2 linked regions of the Saccharomyces cerevisiae S288C genome follow. The protein of the gene in region 2 interacts with the protein of the main gene of each other region in a biochemical or structural test. Each region holds a gene or a part of one and is shown on either strand. Other genes may lie near its edges.

Region 1 (10,493 bases), on a different chromosome or scaffold from region 2:
TATCATTCAGGTACACAATTTATATATGTTAACATAAGATTATTTAATATCTTATCTCAATAATTTTCATTATTGTTCAGACTATGTCATTAATTTATAATAAAAGATTAAAACTTTTGATATTTTATAATATATATATATATATTTTTTATTTTATATATAATATATATTACTCCTTCCGGGGTTCCGGCTCCCGTGGCCGGGGCCCGGAACTATATAAAAAAAATTAATAATCTATTCTTTATTTAAAAATAATTTATAAATTAATTGGTTTTCGTGGAAAGGTATTACTATCTCAGTTCACTTTCTAGTCGTTGAACGTTTTTATATCTTATATTATATTAATATTATTATTATTATTATATATATATATTAATATATAATATAGAGATGATATAAACTTCGCTGCAAGTTGTCATAGTATTATTTATTTATTAATACCTTAGATTTTCTTGACAATTAACCAATTTTAATCATTAAACTCCTTATGGGAGTTCCCACAAAGCGGAAACTTAAGAATATTTAATGCTACTGTACTTTTTATTATTATTTATTATTAATTAATTAATTTATTTATTATAATTTTTCATATATTTAATATAATATATTAAATATAAATTATAAAGGAATATATATAAATAACCCCGAAAGGAGAAATAAATAATATATTTTTATTAATAATTATTATTTATTTTTTTTATATAAAATAAATAAGATTAAATAATAATAATTTTATTAATATTTTTAATATCAATAGATGCTGGTGTTACTAAAGGATTACCAGGAATATAGTTATCAGGATGCTTTTATAATAAATATAAAATGGACTATATCTTCATAAAAATTTATATTACACTATCTTATTTCATAAACTATTATTATTTCTTCAATCATGTTTAATGATCAGAATTTTATTTAATAAGATTGTAAAAATATAATCTACCGATTCATAATAATTTATATTATCTTTAACAATAATTTACAAAGATGTTATATTATTATAAGGAATCTTTAAATATTTTATAAATTAGATAATATAATAATGAATACGGAGAAAATTTAATTATTATTTCATTTTTCATTAAATTTTAATCAAGCTTTATATAAAGCAGTATTATGAGGTGCTTTAAAAGCTAATAAATCATATAAATAATAAAATTTATCAATTAAAAATAAACGTTTACCTTTATTAGATTTAGAAGGACAACTTTTATTATAAAGATAAAAAATATTATGTAATTCTTTATTATTAATAGATCATTTAAAATAACCATTTTTAGCTTTATCAAAATAAATATTACCACCAAATACTTCTCTATAGTATTCAACATCATGTAAATATTTATTTGTAACGCTAATAGTTAATTGAGGTCTAATTTTTAATTTACCGGAATAATAATAATTAATAGTACCATCAGCATCAAAGAACCCTATAAATCAAGCATTATCTTTAGTTAATTTAATAGGTTCTTTAAAATCGATATTTAATAAAATACATACTTTATTAAATTGTACTAATCTTTTACTATTACGAATATTACCATTAACGGCATTAATTAATTTAATTATACCTTCTTTATTTTGTAATCTATATCTAATAGCCTTAACACCTGATCTTAATTTTACAGAACCACCAAATTTATCTTGGATTTGTCTTAACATTTTTTCATCTTTTAATTCTACAAGAATTTCACAAGATGCATATTTATTTTTAGTAATACAAAAATAACCATCTCCGTCAATTAAACCGGCCAATCATTGGTTAAATCTAATATTACTATCTTTATAAATACTATAATGTCTTTTAAGAATAATTTGATTTATTTTTTTTATATTAAAAATATTTAATAAATAATTAAATTTATTTTTTAGTGTGCGTGTAGTCTCTGAAGTATCTACTAATAAATTCTTTTTATTACTCGTTAAGTGAGTATTAGAAGAATTTATATTGGTTACCTGCTGATTATCTTCTTTATAATAATATTTTACTCTATTGGGATTAAATAAATCACTTACAATATTTATTTTATTATATTGCTTTGTTCAATTAAATTTTAATACGAAATTATTTAATTGTTTTGTATTTAAAATATTTTGAATAATAAAATAATATAGAGTTTTATTATAAATTTTTCATTGATATTTAATAAATAAAGATTTCCAGCATACAGCACATAAAATATTAATTACATATGTAATTAATAATAAGGCCATATTTTGACCTAAAGTATTAGGTGAATAGAATACAAATAATGCTAAAATTAACATAAATAAGAAAACAGTTACTAAATCTTTAAAAATAAAGTATGAATGCATTGGAATTCTATCTAAATTACCTGTAATACCTAATGGATTAGATGAACCATGAATATGTAATGCCATTAAATGCATAATAACCATTGCAGCAATGATAAAAGGTACTAAATAATGTAACGCAAAGAATCTCTGGATTAGAGGGTTAGATACTGAGCTTTTAATGTTTAAATAGTTACATATTTGAAAACTATTATCAATATATCACTATATTGTTCGGACTATATCTTAATCCTATTTATGTATATATATAATTATATATAAATATTTATAAATGATTATATATTAATCATAATATTTATTTATAAAAAAAAAAGATAAATATTACTTCTAAAGTTTTTATTTCTTATTTATTAATCATAAATTATAATTAATAAAATTATACTTTTTAATTTATAGTTTCGATATCCTAAAATAGAAATAAAAATACCATAAAATGATAAGATTTTAATTATTAATAAAAATTAATAATGAAGGAGAAAATAAATATAATAAAATAATAAATAGTTCAAAGGAATTATTTATTGATAATAATATATTTAATATATAATTAAACTCCTTCGGGGTTCGGTCCCCCTCCCGTTAGAATAGGGAGGGGTCCCTCACTCCTCCGGGGTCCGCCCCGCGGGGCGGGCCGGACTATATTTATAATAAATAATTATATATAAATTATATTTTGTTTATATAATTATATAATATATAAATATATTATTATTATATTTTTATATAAGATTAATATTTAGGAGGAATTTTAAAATAATTATTATATTTAAGAATAAGACGTAAATCTTTTAAGAATAATAAATATTGTAATTTTTTATAACCTAATAATTTAATAGGGTTATTATTAATAAATATTACAACATTTTTAATACCATTAATACTTTTAAGTGTTATTCTTGAATTATTAAATTTATCTGTATAAATATTTTGAGTAATTTTTAAATATGATTTAATAGCTAATATAACTTCTATACTATTATTTTGAGATACTTCAAAACTAGCAAGTTTTATTTTTTTATTTATAGGTTTATAAATACTAAAACAACTTTCAGCTTCAAAAAAACCAATTAATCATGAAGAAAAATAATTTTTATTTAAAATATCTTCAAGAGTATTAAATGGTTTAATAGGACGTAAATAATAAGATAAATCATTATAATATTTAATATCTTTTAATAAATTATCTTTAAAATATAAATAATCATAATGTTTATTAGTTAATATAGGATATTTATCAAAAATAGGAATAATAATATTCTTTAAATGATTTTTATTTCTTACATTAAATTTACATATTTCTTTAATAGTACCATCTTTTATTTTTAATTTTTTAATTGTTACTTTACCAATACCTAAAATATTTTTAATTTTATATAATAATTGAATATCTCTAATATGTATTTCAATACCTAATTCATATAATAAATATTTACCTTTTTTTGAAATAGTAATTCAACCATCTCCTTCAAATAAACCACCAATATATGCATAAATAGGATTATCTGTGTTTAATTTATGATTTTTATCATAAATAATAGTATTATTTATATAATAACTATAAAGTCTCTGAATAATTAATTTTATATATATATATATATTAATTACTGCTAATTTTCTTCTTATAATAAATATTTTAACTATATTATTTTTATTTCAAATTATATTATTATAAATAATTAATTGAATAATATAGTAATTTATTATTCAAATGAAGATATTTCAGCATAAAACAGATTTATTTAATATTATATTACTATAATATGGATCCTCTATATTAAACCCACCTCATAATCAAGATACAATATCGTTACCTACAAATGGAATTGCTGAGAATAAATTAGTAATAACTAGTGCCAAGAAAATAATATTATTTATAAATTATTATTATTTTTTAATAATAATAATCTCAATATTTATTGATTTATTAATATAAATAATACCCTGTATTTAATAATATCTACCCTTTTTATAATTCCATTTAATCACTATTTTCTCTTATGAATAAATATTTATACCTAATAATACCATAATATAAATATTATATATAAATGTTATATATAAATGTTATATATAAATGTTATGATGGGGTTATTATTATAAAAATATTAATCATAATAATTATAATTCATTATTTATATATTAATTAGGTAAATGGAATAATAACAGTAGTTATATATATAATATATATATATAGATTATTAAACCTTGTGTTATAATAATAATATTATAAATTTTCTTCGAATAAACATTAAATATTATTATTTTTTTTATAATAATACCTATTATTGGTGTATTCTGTTGGGATCATATAATTATATAACCCACTGTCTTGTTACTTAATAATATAATTTTGACATGTTTTCAATAATATCGCATTATAATAATATAATAATTAATATAATACTATATATTTTATTATAAATAATTACCTAATTTATATTTTATACTAGGAATAATATAAGGAGATACAATTTTAGTTAAAATAGGTATAGATTCTTTTCATACATAAATAACAAATTGTGTATTTTCTTTATTGCCTTTAAGAATAGTAGATTTAATATTATATTTATTATGTAATAAATAAAGTAAATATTGAACATCTTTATAACTAAAACAATTAGTTGTGAATTTTAAACCTTTACCTAATTTACATCCATCATCTATAATTCAAATAGCTAAAGCTAAAGGAGTTAAATAATTGTCTAAAGATTTAGGAATAACTTTAATATTACCTTTTCCAGATATATTTTTAATATACCATTCTGAATAAATCATATTAAATGAATCATAAGTTCATGTATTAAATTTTAAATATTGTCTAATTTTACCTTTTTTACCTAATCTAGTTTTAATTAAAGGTAAATTAGTATTACAATAACCTAAATTAGCTAATAAACTATGTAAATAATATAAATAATTAATATTACAATATTCTTGTTGAAATACAATTCTTGTTCCTTTACCACCTTTTCTTTTTTCAGCATGACCATCTCCTAATATTGAACCATAAATAATTGATAAAATGTTTATATTTAATGGACCAATATTATTATTTATATCTTTCTTATTTGTTATATTTAAATTAATTATATATTTATTTTTATTAATATAATCTATACTCTTAATTAATATAAGATATTCTTTAGTTTTTATTATTTGTCTTATTATAATCGTATAAAAAATATAAATTAATAATATTAACATTATTATATAAATTAGTTTTATTATATTAAATATATTTGAGGCGATATTTATATTACCTCAATGTGACAATTGTGATAGGTAGATCTTTACAAATTTTCCCCCACTCAGAACTGTACGTACTACTTTCATAGTATACAGCTCAAACAATTTATATACTATATAAATCATCCTATATTGAAGTTAGCATGCTTTCACATTAATCATTTATTCGTTATTATTATTAATTAATTAATTAATTAATTAATAATAATATTAACCATTATTAATATATTTTTATTAAAATATATAAATAATTTGATCTATATTATACATTACATATAATCTTTAGCTTTTTCAATAGTCTTTTACCCACTTATCTATATTATAATTTCTATTATTATTTATTTAATAATATTATATATAACTACCATATAATATTTATATTAATATTATATGGAAATAATTGGGCTTACCAAGTTTATATTATTATACTTTCAATAATTCACTTAGGATTCTAATTTTATACCGATGAGTATTAACGTATATATATGTATTCTAGACAGAATTGAATATCTTACTTCTCATATAATTATTTTTATTTATTATTATTTATTAATTAATAATAGAAAAAAATATTGTTTATGTTACGATATTTTATAATATTAGATTGACTTACGCTATCCATATGAATCTTACCTTAATAATTAATAATAATTATTATTATTAGAGTTTCATACAAAATTATTACTAATAATGCATGTCTAATTAGGTATATGTTATATATAAACATAATCATTTCATTAAAATAATTTATTTAATGGTATGATATTATAATAATATACTTATACTTGTCTCACTCTGTCCATAAACACAACAATAACCTAAAAAAGCTGTAGCAATAGTTAAAATGAAAATAATAACACCTACATTTCATAATAGTACTCTTGGTGATCTATATGAACCATAATATAAACCTTTAGCCATATGCATAAACATTACCATAAAAAAGAATGATGCACCATTTGCATGTAAATATCTTAAAATATAACCATTATGCACATCTCTTATAATATGTTCAACAGATGAAAAAGCTAATTCAATATTAGATGAATAATGCATAGCCATAAAAATACCTGTTACAATTTGAATAACTAAACATAAACCTAATAATGAACCCATATTTCATCAATAATTAATTGATGATGGTTGTGGTGAATCAATAATATAACTATTCACTAAACTTAAATACACATTTGATTTTCTAAATGCCATATTATTATTATTTATTTATAAAATATTAATAATATTATTTATTACTAATATTTTATATATATTAATTAATAAAAAATATATAAATATATATTATTAATTAATACTTATTATATATATATATATTTATAATTATATATATAATTATATTATAATATTAAAAACTATTTTTTTATTATATATACATATTTTATTATATATAAATTATAATTATTAAAAAAAAAAGATATTTCTCATTTTTTTTTCATTAATATAATCCATTAAAAAAAAAAGTTAATAGATTTTATTAATATTATTATTATTATTTATTAAATATAAACCTCGCGGGCGCCAATCCGGTCAACTACTGGGTTGGTCATTGGTCCCGTGGATAATATTAATTATATTATATCATTATTAATTTTTTTAATAAAAAGTTAATAATATAATATAATATTTAAAAATATTTATTTAATAATAAATAAATAAATAAATAAATAAATAAATAAATAAATAAATAATATTGACGATTATATTAATATTAATGATATCATTATTATTTAATAATAATTAATATTATGAAAGATTTTTATATTAATATTATATAAATATAATATTAATAATTTTTATATTATTTATTAATATTGTTATTATTATTATTATATTAACAATAATTTATTGTTAATATGTTATTTATATTATTATTAATTTATATTCTCCTTTCGGGGTTCCGGCTCCCGTGACCGGGCCCCGGAACTATAAAAAAAAATAAAATAAATTATATTATTATATATTATATTAAAAAAAAAAATTAAATATATAATAATTATAGAATTAATTAATAACAATTATTATTATTATTATTATACATAAATATTATTTATATAATTTATTATAATATTTATTTAAAAATATTATAATGAAAAATATATTATATATTTTATTATAGTATAATAACAATCGGTATTTATTATTATGAATATATTATTTGTATTAAAAAAAAATATATATATATATATAATTGTATTATATAAAATGTATATTATTAATAATTATTAATTAATATAAAGAATATGTTTAATTATATATACTTTTTTTACAAATATTTATTATTATGAATAACCTTAATCGGAATCGAACCGATATTATCAACATGAAGAGGTGATGTCGTAACCATTAGACGATAAGGTCTATATTTATTAATAATATATATATATATAATTATTATTATTATTAATAAATTATAAAAATAAAATTATTATTATTATTATTAAGTTTATTATTACTATTTATTAACCTAATTAAAATTAAATTAAATAAAATAAAATAAAATAAAATAAAATAAAATAAAATAAAATAAAATAAAATAAAATAAAACTTCTTCTTTAAATAAAAAAGGGGTTCGGTTCCCACGGGGTCCCGCACTCCTTCTTAAATAGGGGTTCGGTCCCCCAAAGGGATCTATCACTCCTTCCTAAAAATAATTAAATATTTTTAATATATATATATATATACATATATATATTAATTTTATTAATTCATTTAAAATTTATATTTATTAATATAATTTATATATTTATCTTATTCCTCCTTTCGGGGTTCCGGCTCCCGTGGCCGGGCCCCGGAACTATTAATATATAAATTGAATTATAATTATTTTATATTATTTTTATATATTACTTATATAATATTTCTTATAATTATATTAAGATTATATATATAAATAGGTTATTATATATTATTATATATATATACTTATTAATTAAATATATTTATATTTTATATTAATGAAGTAAATATTTTATTTAATATATATATATATATATAAATTTATTTATTATAAATTATATTCTTTTTATATTTATATTTATTATTAATTAATTAATTAATTAATTAATTAATTAATTAATTAATTAAATTATTATAATTGTTATTATAAATTATAATTATTATTATTATTTTATTTTTAATAAAATTATTATAATATTAAAAAAGGGAGATAAATAATATTTATATAATCTCCTTTTGGGATTCCGGTCTTTGGCCTGGTATCCAAAACTTATATATTATATTAATCCCCAAATAAGATATTAATATATATAAACAATTCCTTCTTTAAATATTAAATATTAAATAAAAAAGGGGGTTCGATCCCACGGACTATTTATTCTTGTTAATTATATTTTTAATATTATATTAATAAGTTATATTTTATTATATATTATATTATTATTTCTCCTTTCGGGGTTCCGGCTCCCGTGGCCGGGCCCCGGAACTATTATAATTATATATATATTATTAATTTTTATTTATACTCCTTCGGGGTTCGGTCCCCCTCCCATTAGTATAGGGAGGGGTCCCTCACTCCTTCGGGGTCCCCGCCGGGGCGGGGACTTATATTTATATATTTATATTTATATTTATATATTATATTTGTATTTATATTATATTTATATATTTATATATTTATATTTGTATTTATATTTATATTTATATTTATATTTATATAATAGGTGGGGGTCCCTATAATTATTGAAAATAATTATTATTTATAGGACCCCAGATATCTATCATTTATAAATTATTATAATATTTATTAAATTTATGATATATTTTATATTTAATATGTTTTTATATTTATTCATATTATTTATATTATTTACCCTATTTTTATATTATTATTAATATTTATAATAACAATTATTATATTATTAATAAATACTATATAAGTATTAAAATAAATATCTCCTGCGGGGTTCGGTTCCCCCCCGTAAGGGGGGGGGGTCCCTCACTCCTTTCTATAAAAAGTAAATTTAATATATTTTTTATATATATAATATATTAATCATATAAATTATAAATTATATATATATATTTATATATATATATATATATATTATAATAATCATAATATTTTTATTTTATATTTTATATTTTATATATGTATTACGAGAGGGATAATTATTTTATTATATTTATATACAATAGGATTAAACATTGCCAGTGAACAACGGGTAATGTTTGATCCGTATCATATTATATTATATTATATTATATTATATTATATAATTAATAGTTCCGGGGCCCGGCACGGGAACCGGAACCCCGAAAGGAGGAGAAGATAATATTATTACTATTTTTCTTTATAAAAATAAAATAAAATAAAATAAAATAGTCCGGTAGAAAGAGATATTATAACTTTATTAAATATATTAAATATATAATAATTATTATTCCATTTAAAATTACAATTTTCGTTTCAATTATAATACTTTTTAATTATATTATAATATATAATTATTTATAATAATAGTACGCTCCGAAGGAGTGAGGGACCCCCCCCTTACGGGGGGGAACCGAACCCCGCAGGAGATATTTATTAATAATGAAATTATATTAATATATTATTATTATTATATAAAATATTAATTAGTTCCGGAACCCAAAAAGGGGACCGGAACCCCGAAGAGGAGTAAACATCTTTATTTATTATTTATAAAGGTGTGAACCCCACCGGAACCCCAAAAGGAGTTATTATTATTTATTTCCTTCTTTATTAAATTATAAATTGTAAGATTATATATTATTATATATTATATTTAATATTTATTATTTATATATAATAATTTATTATATTATATTATATTATATTTATATATGATATTTTTATTATTATAAAAAAAAAGAAATATAAATATTAATATTAATGAGAATCTAAATATTTACTTATTTATTTATTTATTTAT
Region 2 (7,004 bases):
ATTGCAAACCCACACCATCAAATTTCTCTGCAATACTTTGTTCAACACTTTGTAAACCCGTCATGAGTTTTTCTCCTTCACCTCTTTCTTGGCCGGGAACAAAACTTGGCTCTTCATTTTTCTTTCCAATATCAATATAAACAGCATCCTTATCCATCAACACACCTCCGACATCGGACATTGGAGCATATATCAATTTATCTTTATCATCTAACCTTTTACGTCTTCTTGTCGTAGAGGCAGTTGTAATTTCTCCGTTAGCCTTTGCCTCTTCTTTCATTTTTTCACGTTCAAAATCATCCAGTTTCTGTTGGTAAAAAGGTGTGGGACATGGATCTGGTAATTTTTCAATTTGTGCTACTGAGAAATCACCAACACCAGCAATATGCACCCTAGTGCCCGGAGCAGAAGGCAAAGGAGTACCGTGCAAATAACCATAGATAGCGACTTTGCGGTCGATTTGCAGTCCTTGAGTCTCTATTAATTCCGGATGAGTTAAATCTGTGAATCTGTCAGCCAACATATAGGGATGTTCGTTCCTCCATTTTAATGGTCTGAATTTCATAACAGATATAAATCGTGAAAGGTTTAAAATCTCTCTATCAGGATACCTTCCATTAATCACACCAGATAGGTAAAATAATTTTGCACCTTGATAAACTTCCGTCCAGAATCTGTGCTTTAATCTTTTCTTAGAAGCTCTCAAAGTTGACTGAGATTTAAACAGATCAAGATGTGTAGCTACACCAAGTACTCTTGGCATACCGTGATGTTGAGCAATATTTAAGAATTCCATTGTTTCCATTTCAAAACCGAAATTACCGTCAATTAGTAAAAGAACCAAGTCGGCAATCTTAGCAATATCAATCATCGCATTCAGATCGTCCGCAGGGCACTCCAAAAAAGTTAGTCTTCTATGTTTACCAGAGACAACAGTAATAGGACCTTGAATATCATTCAAAGTGCTTTTTGTCATTCTCCTGACGAGGGACCGAATCAAAGTAGTCTTTCCTGTTCCAGGTGGACCCACGACAGCGACGATAAATGGAGGCGGATCATCTTCAGGGGTACGATCAACCATAGGAACATGCAGTTTTCTTTCGTTCACATCACTTGACCTTTGCATAGTTCTCGCCATCTTACCTGGGGCTGCCACGGCAAAGGCCTTTGCATTATGACCCTGCGTATGGAGCTTCTTTTTTGCTGTATTCTTCTCCTTCGCCTTACGGTGCTGTTTATTAGACTGCTCCATCGTTTCAGATAACTCAGATGGCTGATTAAAGGCTACTATTATGTGATATTTTTACCTTAACAGCGCAAATACTTTCCTTAATTTTGAAGCTTCACTTCAGCTCATCGCCTTGAAAATTTTTCATTTGTACGGACATTAAACTTAGGCGATAACAAAAAAAAAACTTCATCTAGATAATCTCAACTTTGAAATTACAGAAATATTTACAACAGTAGTACGAGTATCTGCACTATGGCTCACATGTCCTTAAAATAATCTAAGCTTACCTATCTGATATTTGTTTTGATATTGTTTAGGACCAGCAGTTTCTGAGAGTTTAGCAAATGCACCTTTACAGCTATCCTCAACTTTTGGAAGAGAAAGTGACAAGATATGTAACAATACTTGCATGAATCGACATTTGTTTACTTTGGTCCATTTTGTATATGATAGTGTGATTTAGCGATATGGAATTATGTGTATTTTTCTATTTGTTGTCATTTCAATATGGGATGACTTGTTTTCTTGTAACGCGCCACTTCAATAGTAAACATTATGAACCTGATAAATGTTAGCAGACTTAGTAAGAGAGACAATCATTTTCATTCAGTAAAAATCGCAATCCCTAGTTTGGCTCTTCTTCTAGCCGTACTTTAAATTCAAAGCAAAAATGGTTCTGCTTAACAGAAGGAAAATACAACCTAAGGAAATAGGACAGTCTGCTGATTCCTTCTCTGAAACTCCATGGGTGATTAAAGAAAGTAGCGAGCGTATAAATGATTATGACAGTGATTTAAAAAAGCTAGATTTTTACAAAAGGGATATATTCACCTGTGAGATTAGTGGAAAAGATGGCCTTTCGTATTTCAAGGCGTTAAAAAGCGAAGAACAGCACCGTGAAAAGGTCAGATATCTTTTACCAAAAGAACTAAGGAAGGCTATAGCAAATTTCGCAAACTTCAGTCCGATAAGGAAGGTAGGACACCTTGTAGAAAGCGCATTTCAGCGTTTTAGTAACCGTTTCTTTATAGGCGATACGGTGTGCTTGAAAACTATCCAAAAAAATGCATTGATTACCTATAAAGAAGGAGAGCCTAACTTGGTAGAATCACCAACTATTGAAAACAATGTCACGTTGTTCCTTGTCAAGGATGTGTTTCAATCTAACGGGATGATGGAAAGTGAAAAGGGAGAAATTTCTGCCCCAAAATTGTCACTGTATTTAATCACAGAATGCCTGAATCGAGAATCTAAAGGTGCGGCCCTAATTGTAGGCCAGAATGAAATTAAAAGGCCAGAATCACACTTTTCTAAATTCATAATTGCGTGTTTTCTTAATGAAATACTCATAAAAGTATCGAATAAGGAGCACGCACCATGGAGGGTGAAACAAGAATATATAGAAAGATATGATGTAAACCCTAAATGCTCTCCTAATATGATTGATTATTTGCCGGATAGAATGAACTCATCTTCTTCCGAGCTTTACACTCCTCTTACTATACCACCAGAGAGCGATGTTGAACCTGCTGACTGGAAGGAAACGTCGGAAACGTCGGAAACGTCGGAAACGTCACTATCTAAAATAAAAGCAATTGACGACGAGATTTCAGTCTCATTTGACCACATTTACGATAATGTGAACTCCCTTGCCTACAATGATTTGAAGGGAACCGTCGACGACAAGGAGCTTCCATTCACTGGGCCTTCGATACCATTTGAAAATATCAGCTACTTAGATAGCTCCTTAGAATATAAGAATATCGATCAAAAATGGTTCAAAGAGTGCAGTCAATTTCCAACGGAACGACTATTGGTTGTTTATCAATTCCTGAGCTTTTTTGGACGTTTTATTGGTCTATCACATTTTAATTTTGATCAGTTCCTTACTACTATCAAGTGTACTAGTCCGGAGGCTTTAGTAGATGAATATGTCAAAATAAACTTTCTTAAAACTTACAACAGCAAAGGGAGTTTCACAAATGAGAAGCCAAGAAACGAAATATATAATCAAGTGACCAGTAGTAACGTATCCCAGCGTGAGAAGGCTAACGTCTTTAATGCAGATGAGAGTCAACGAATACCTAGCAATTTCACCAGAAACCAGAAAATGAGGAAATTTATAACGGATAAAAGTACTGAATTTGTAATGTATTCCATTTTTAAAGGGAAGCCTCTAAAAAATGACGATATGGAGTTTCAATCGTACGAAAAAGTGAATATACTTTACATTGATATAGTTTGCTCGTTAATGTGTCTGATGACGGATAATGAACCTGATTGGAATTGTAATCTGATGGACAATTGGACTGAAGAAAAGCGAAAGGAGGAAGGAAATAAAACAGAAATTGATATAGCTATAGAAAAGTGTTTGAACTATGGAGATACTAGCTGGGTTAAACTTTTGCACAATAAAAACTTTAGCAACGGCAATTGGTTGATCTGTCTCCTTGGAATCTTGCAACAGAATACACATATGATAGCATATAGTGATGTCGCAAAATGTATCACAAAAAAAATACTACCTTTATCCATGAATTTTGTAAATTTAGGTGATGAGCTCTGGGATAACTTTCGCAAGAGATTATCTATAAAAGATAAAATTGATGTTTTATGGGTTCTCGTAGATTTTGCGTCCAATTTCTCGAGTTATATTAAGGAGTTGGTAGATAAAGTACCAAAACTGTGCAATGGAATCCGCTTAAAGTTGGATAGTGCAAAAAAAGAGTATATCAAATTGAAACGGCAACTAAAAACGTTAACCAAAAATCGCGTGAAGCTTCACAGCAACGTTTCAATGAACCGATATGGATCAGATGAATGTAAAGGTAAGGTCAATGCCCTTAAAGTGAAAATTGCATACTTAATGGAAGATATCGCCTTCCTAGAGGCAAAATTGATTCAGAGCGATATCAAGAGACTAGAGATTTTGGGTAAAGATAGAAATGGAAATCGATATTATTGGATGGACTCAAATGGATCGTCATCAGCCATCAGTGAAAAAAATGAGGAACTTTACAACTGCTGTTTTTTGTGGGTTCAAGGACCCTCTGAAGCGGATATAAACTTTTGCTTAGATGTCGACGTCGAATCTTTGAAAAAATGGGAGTTGTTAGCTAAAGCAAAAGGTACTGCCTACGCGACAAAAGAAGTCTTTTCAATATTTAGGTCGACAGACGGGTCTTACTATCAAATTGCTCAAGGTGAGAATTTCATGATAATTAATTCAAACGGTATCTTAATGAGGCCAACTATTCCGGCATTCATAGACAAAAAAATTATATCAGAAACTCCAGAAAAGCTCCTACTCTCTCATCATCAATGGGCTTTCTTCAACGATATAGAAGATATACATATGTTAGTAGATAGGTTGGATGATTTAAGAGAAAATGAGGGACAATTGAAGAAAGCTTTGACATCCAAAATGGACCGTATTGAAGTATCATACAAGCAACAGTTCAAAATTAAAAGGCGTATTGAATGTGATGAAACCTTCAAAAAAAATCACAAACTTTTGAAAAATAACGAGTTCACGTTTCCTGAACTGAAAAGAATTGAGACAACTTGTACATCCAACGGCCAACATTTTTCCAACATGGAGAAAATTTCCAAAAAACTATCAAGGACAAAGAATGATCTCGTTTTGGAAGCGATTTTAAAAGACGTAGCTCACCTTGGAGAATGTGAAAGAGCACTTCTCAAAAAGCAACAAAATTTGATTTATCCTTTGAATTTTCATTTCGAACAATTGAGGACGATAGACCTCGAATTTATAGTTGAAACGAAAAGAAAAAGGCAAGAGGATATTCTTACGAAGCTTTTAAATCATCAGAGGTATAAGCATATTAGTCATGTTTCAGGCTATGGGATAAGTTCTCAACGAGTAGATAAAGCTGCACATCTTGATGTGCAGGGTATATTAGAGGAGATTGAATGTCAACTTATTTCAAGACGACGAGAGGATGAAGAACGCAACTAGAAACAACTCTGCAGTTCAAATCACTCTTCCTGTATACGCCTTAGAAAGATATTAGAAATATCTTTTACTATTTAATCTTCACCATTCATTATTCCTCGTATATAAATTGGCCCATTTCAGGGCGTCTGACTGGAGTTGTATTTAGGCTTTACCCGGCGTTCTTCTGAATTTATAGCCAGCAAGGAAAACAACGTCAAAATTGGTCCTCGACTGACGCATTAGTAAGATTAATATTTAGCAAACACTATGATCTCCGTAACAATCTCTTCAGCTATTCCAACACTTGATGATGTCAGTCAATAGATTTACTTCAGGTCGACTCCCTGTTTTCCTTAGAAAGTCCCCTTTTTACTACTCGAGAGCTTATTTGCATCAAACATGTGTTTTCAAGCAAAATAAAGAAACTGCACAAGATTCGCCAGAGCTTTTAGCAAAAAGCTCACATCTGAATTCGAAACCACTAGATGTAAGCAATAAAGCACCAGTGAAAACTGCTCAGAATAAAATTCCTCTAGCTCATAGTAAATATGAATCGTCAAAGTACGAACTTCCCAAATGGAAAGAAGCCTTGGGTGAACTAGTAATTCGAGCATTTCATTTAGATATGGATAGAGTGAGGGCAGGGCCCGTTGCAGGATCTTACTATTATAAAATTTGTAAAGAGCAAGGTTTACAATACGAGGACGAGCCATTATCAGAAACTGCTAAATACTTTTACGAGGATTTGAAGCTACCACGTACTTTTTCACAATGGTTTCAAATCACTGTATTGCACGAGTGGATACTTTTTGTACGTATGAGAGCCATGCCTTTCAAATACGGCAGAAACTATCAGCAGAAATTGGTAGATAGAACATTTTCTGACATTGAGCTGAGATTATTCGAGGAAATGAAAGTTAATTCTGGTAGAATCGCAGATCAATATTTGAAAGATTTCAATACGCAATTAAGAGGAGCGATATTTGCATATGATGAAGGATTTGCTACAGATGATGGTACACTTGCGACAGCTGTCTGGAGAAATCTTTTTGGTGGAAGAAAGAACATTGATATGGTTCATTTAGAGTCTGTTGTGAGATACATTTATTCTCAACTATATGTTCTAAGCAGGTTATCAGACAGAGAGTTTGCCACAGGTAAATTCAAGTTTGTTCCTCCTGGGGTGAAGGTCGAAAAACTGACACCAAAGCAAGAGGAAGAGTTGAAGGCCAAGACCATTGCAAAATATGAAGCTCTAGACAAGGATCCTAAAACCTTACCAAGCGAGAGAAGTAGGCTGTCATATACAAACTAAACGAGCTAGTTTGTAACTTCAAAACTTATGAAAACACTTATTTATTCTTCAGATACTATCCGCACAAATTCCTTAAGTTTTTTCCAATTTTTTGGGCTTTCTTCCTTATTTAATCAGTTTATAAAATCATTACGTTGTAAATAGTTTATTTGAATTTCTTCAAAGAAGCGGACCACTTTTCTGGTTTATTTTCATGGAATAATTGATATAATGCGTCAATCAATTCGACATGGAATGAACCACTTCCTTGACAACGGGTGGAAGCCAACTTACCAGCTGATTTGTATAATAGGACAGCACCAACCACAGCATCAAACAGTTTTCCAGTGGAATCTAACCCACCGATAAAGGAAGCAATTGTAGAACCAAGTGAACATCCACTTGCAGTGATGTCACCCATGATAGGAATTGGGCCATCTTCAATTATTACACATGGAAGATCTTCAGCGGTTATTCCTTCTGTTCCTGATGAAAGTTTGTATTCGCCTCCAAAAGTACCA

Evidence for each region. Proteins that work in one complex are often made in the same cells at the same time.
Region 1: the proteins of CBP3 (region 2) and COB are reported together in a solved structure, tested with the Saccharomyces cerevisiae proteins (one study listed by BioGRID).

The regions. Positions count from the first base shown.
Region 1 is NC_001224.1:32,818-43,310, reverse strand, and holds the start of COB (cytochrome b), read right to left. Parts: upstream 6,772-10,493; coding exon 6,357-6,771; intron 5,589-6,356; coding exon 5,575-5,588; coding exon of another isoform or gene 4,732-5,574; intron 4,171-4,731; coding exon 4,094-4,170; coding exon of another isoform or gene 3,046-4,093; intron 2,471-3,045; coding exon 2,221-2,470; coding exon of another isoform or gene 1,060-2,220; intron 804-1,059; coding exon 753-803; intron 15-752; coding exon 1-14. Other genes in the region: cytochrome b mRNA maturase bI2, read right to left, coding at 4,732-5,588, 6,357-6,771; cytochrome b mRNA maturase bI3, read right to left, coding at 3,046-4,170, 5,575-5,588, 6,357-6,771; intron-encoded RNA maturase bI4, read right to left, coding at 1,060-2,470, 4,094-4,170, 5,575-5,588, 6,357-6,771. UniProt on the Saccharomyces cerevisiae protein: Component of the ubiquinol-cytochrome c oxidoreductase, a multisubunit transmembrane complex that is part of the mitochondrial electron transport chain which drives oxidative phosphorylation.
Region 2 is NC_001148.4:141,920-148,923, forward strand, and holds CBP3 (Cbp3p), read left to right. Parts: upstream 1-5,496; coding exon 5,497-6,504; downstream 6,505-7,004. Other genes in the region: GTPase BMS1, read right to left, coding at 1-1,252; YPL216W (uncharacterized protein), read left to right, coding at 1,902-5,210; THI6 (bifunctional hydroxyethylthiazole kinase/thiamine-phosphate diphosphorylase), read right to left, coding at 6,650-7,004. UniProt on the Saccharomyces cerevisiae protein: Chaperone required for the assembly of ubiquinol-cytochrome c reductase of the mitochondrial respiratory chain.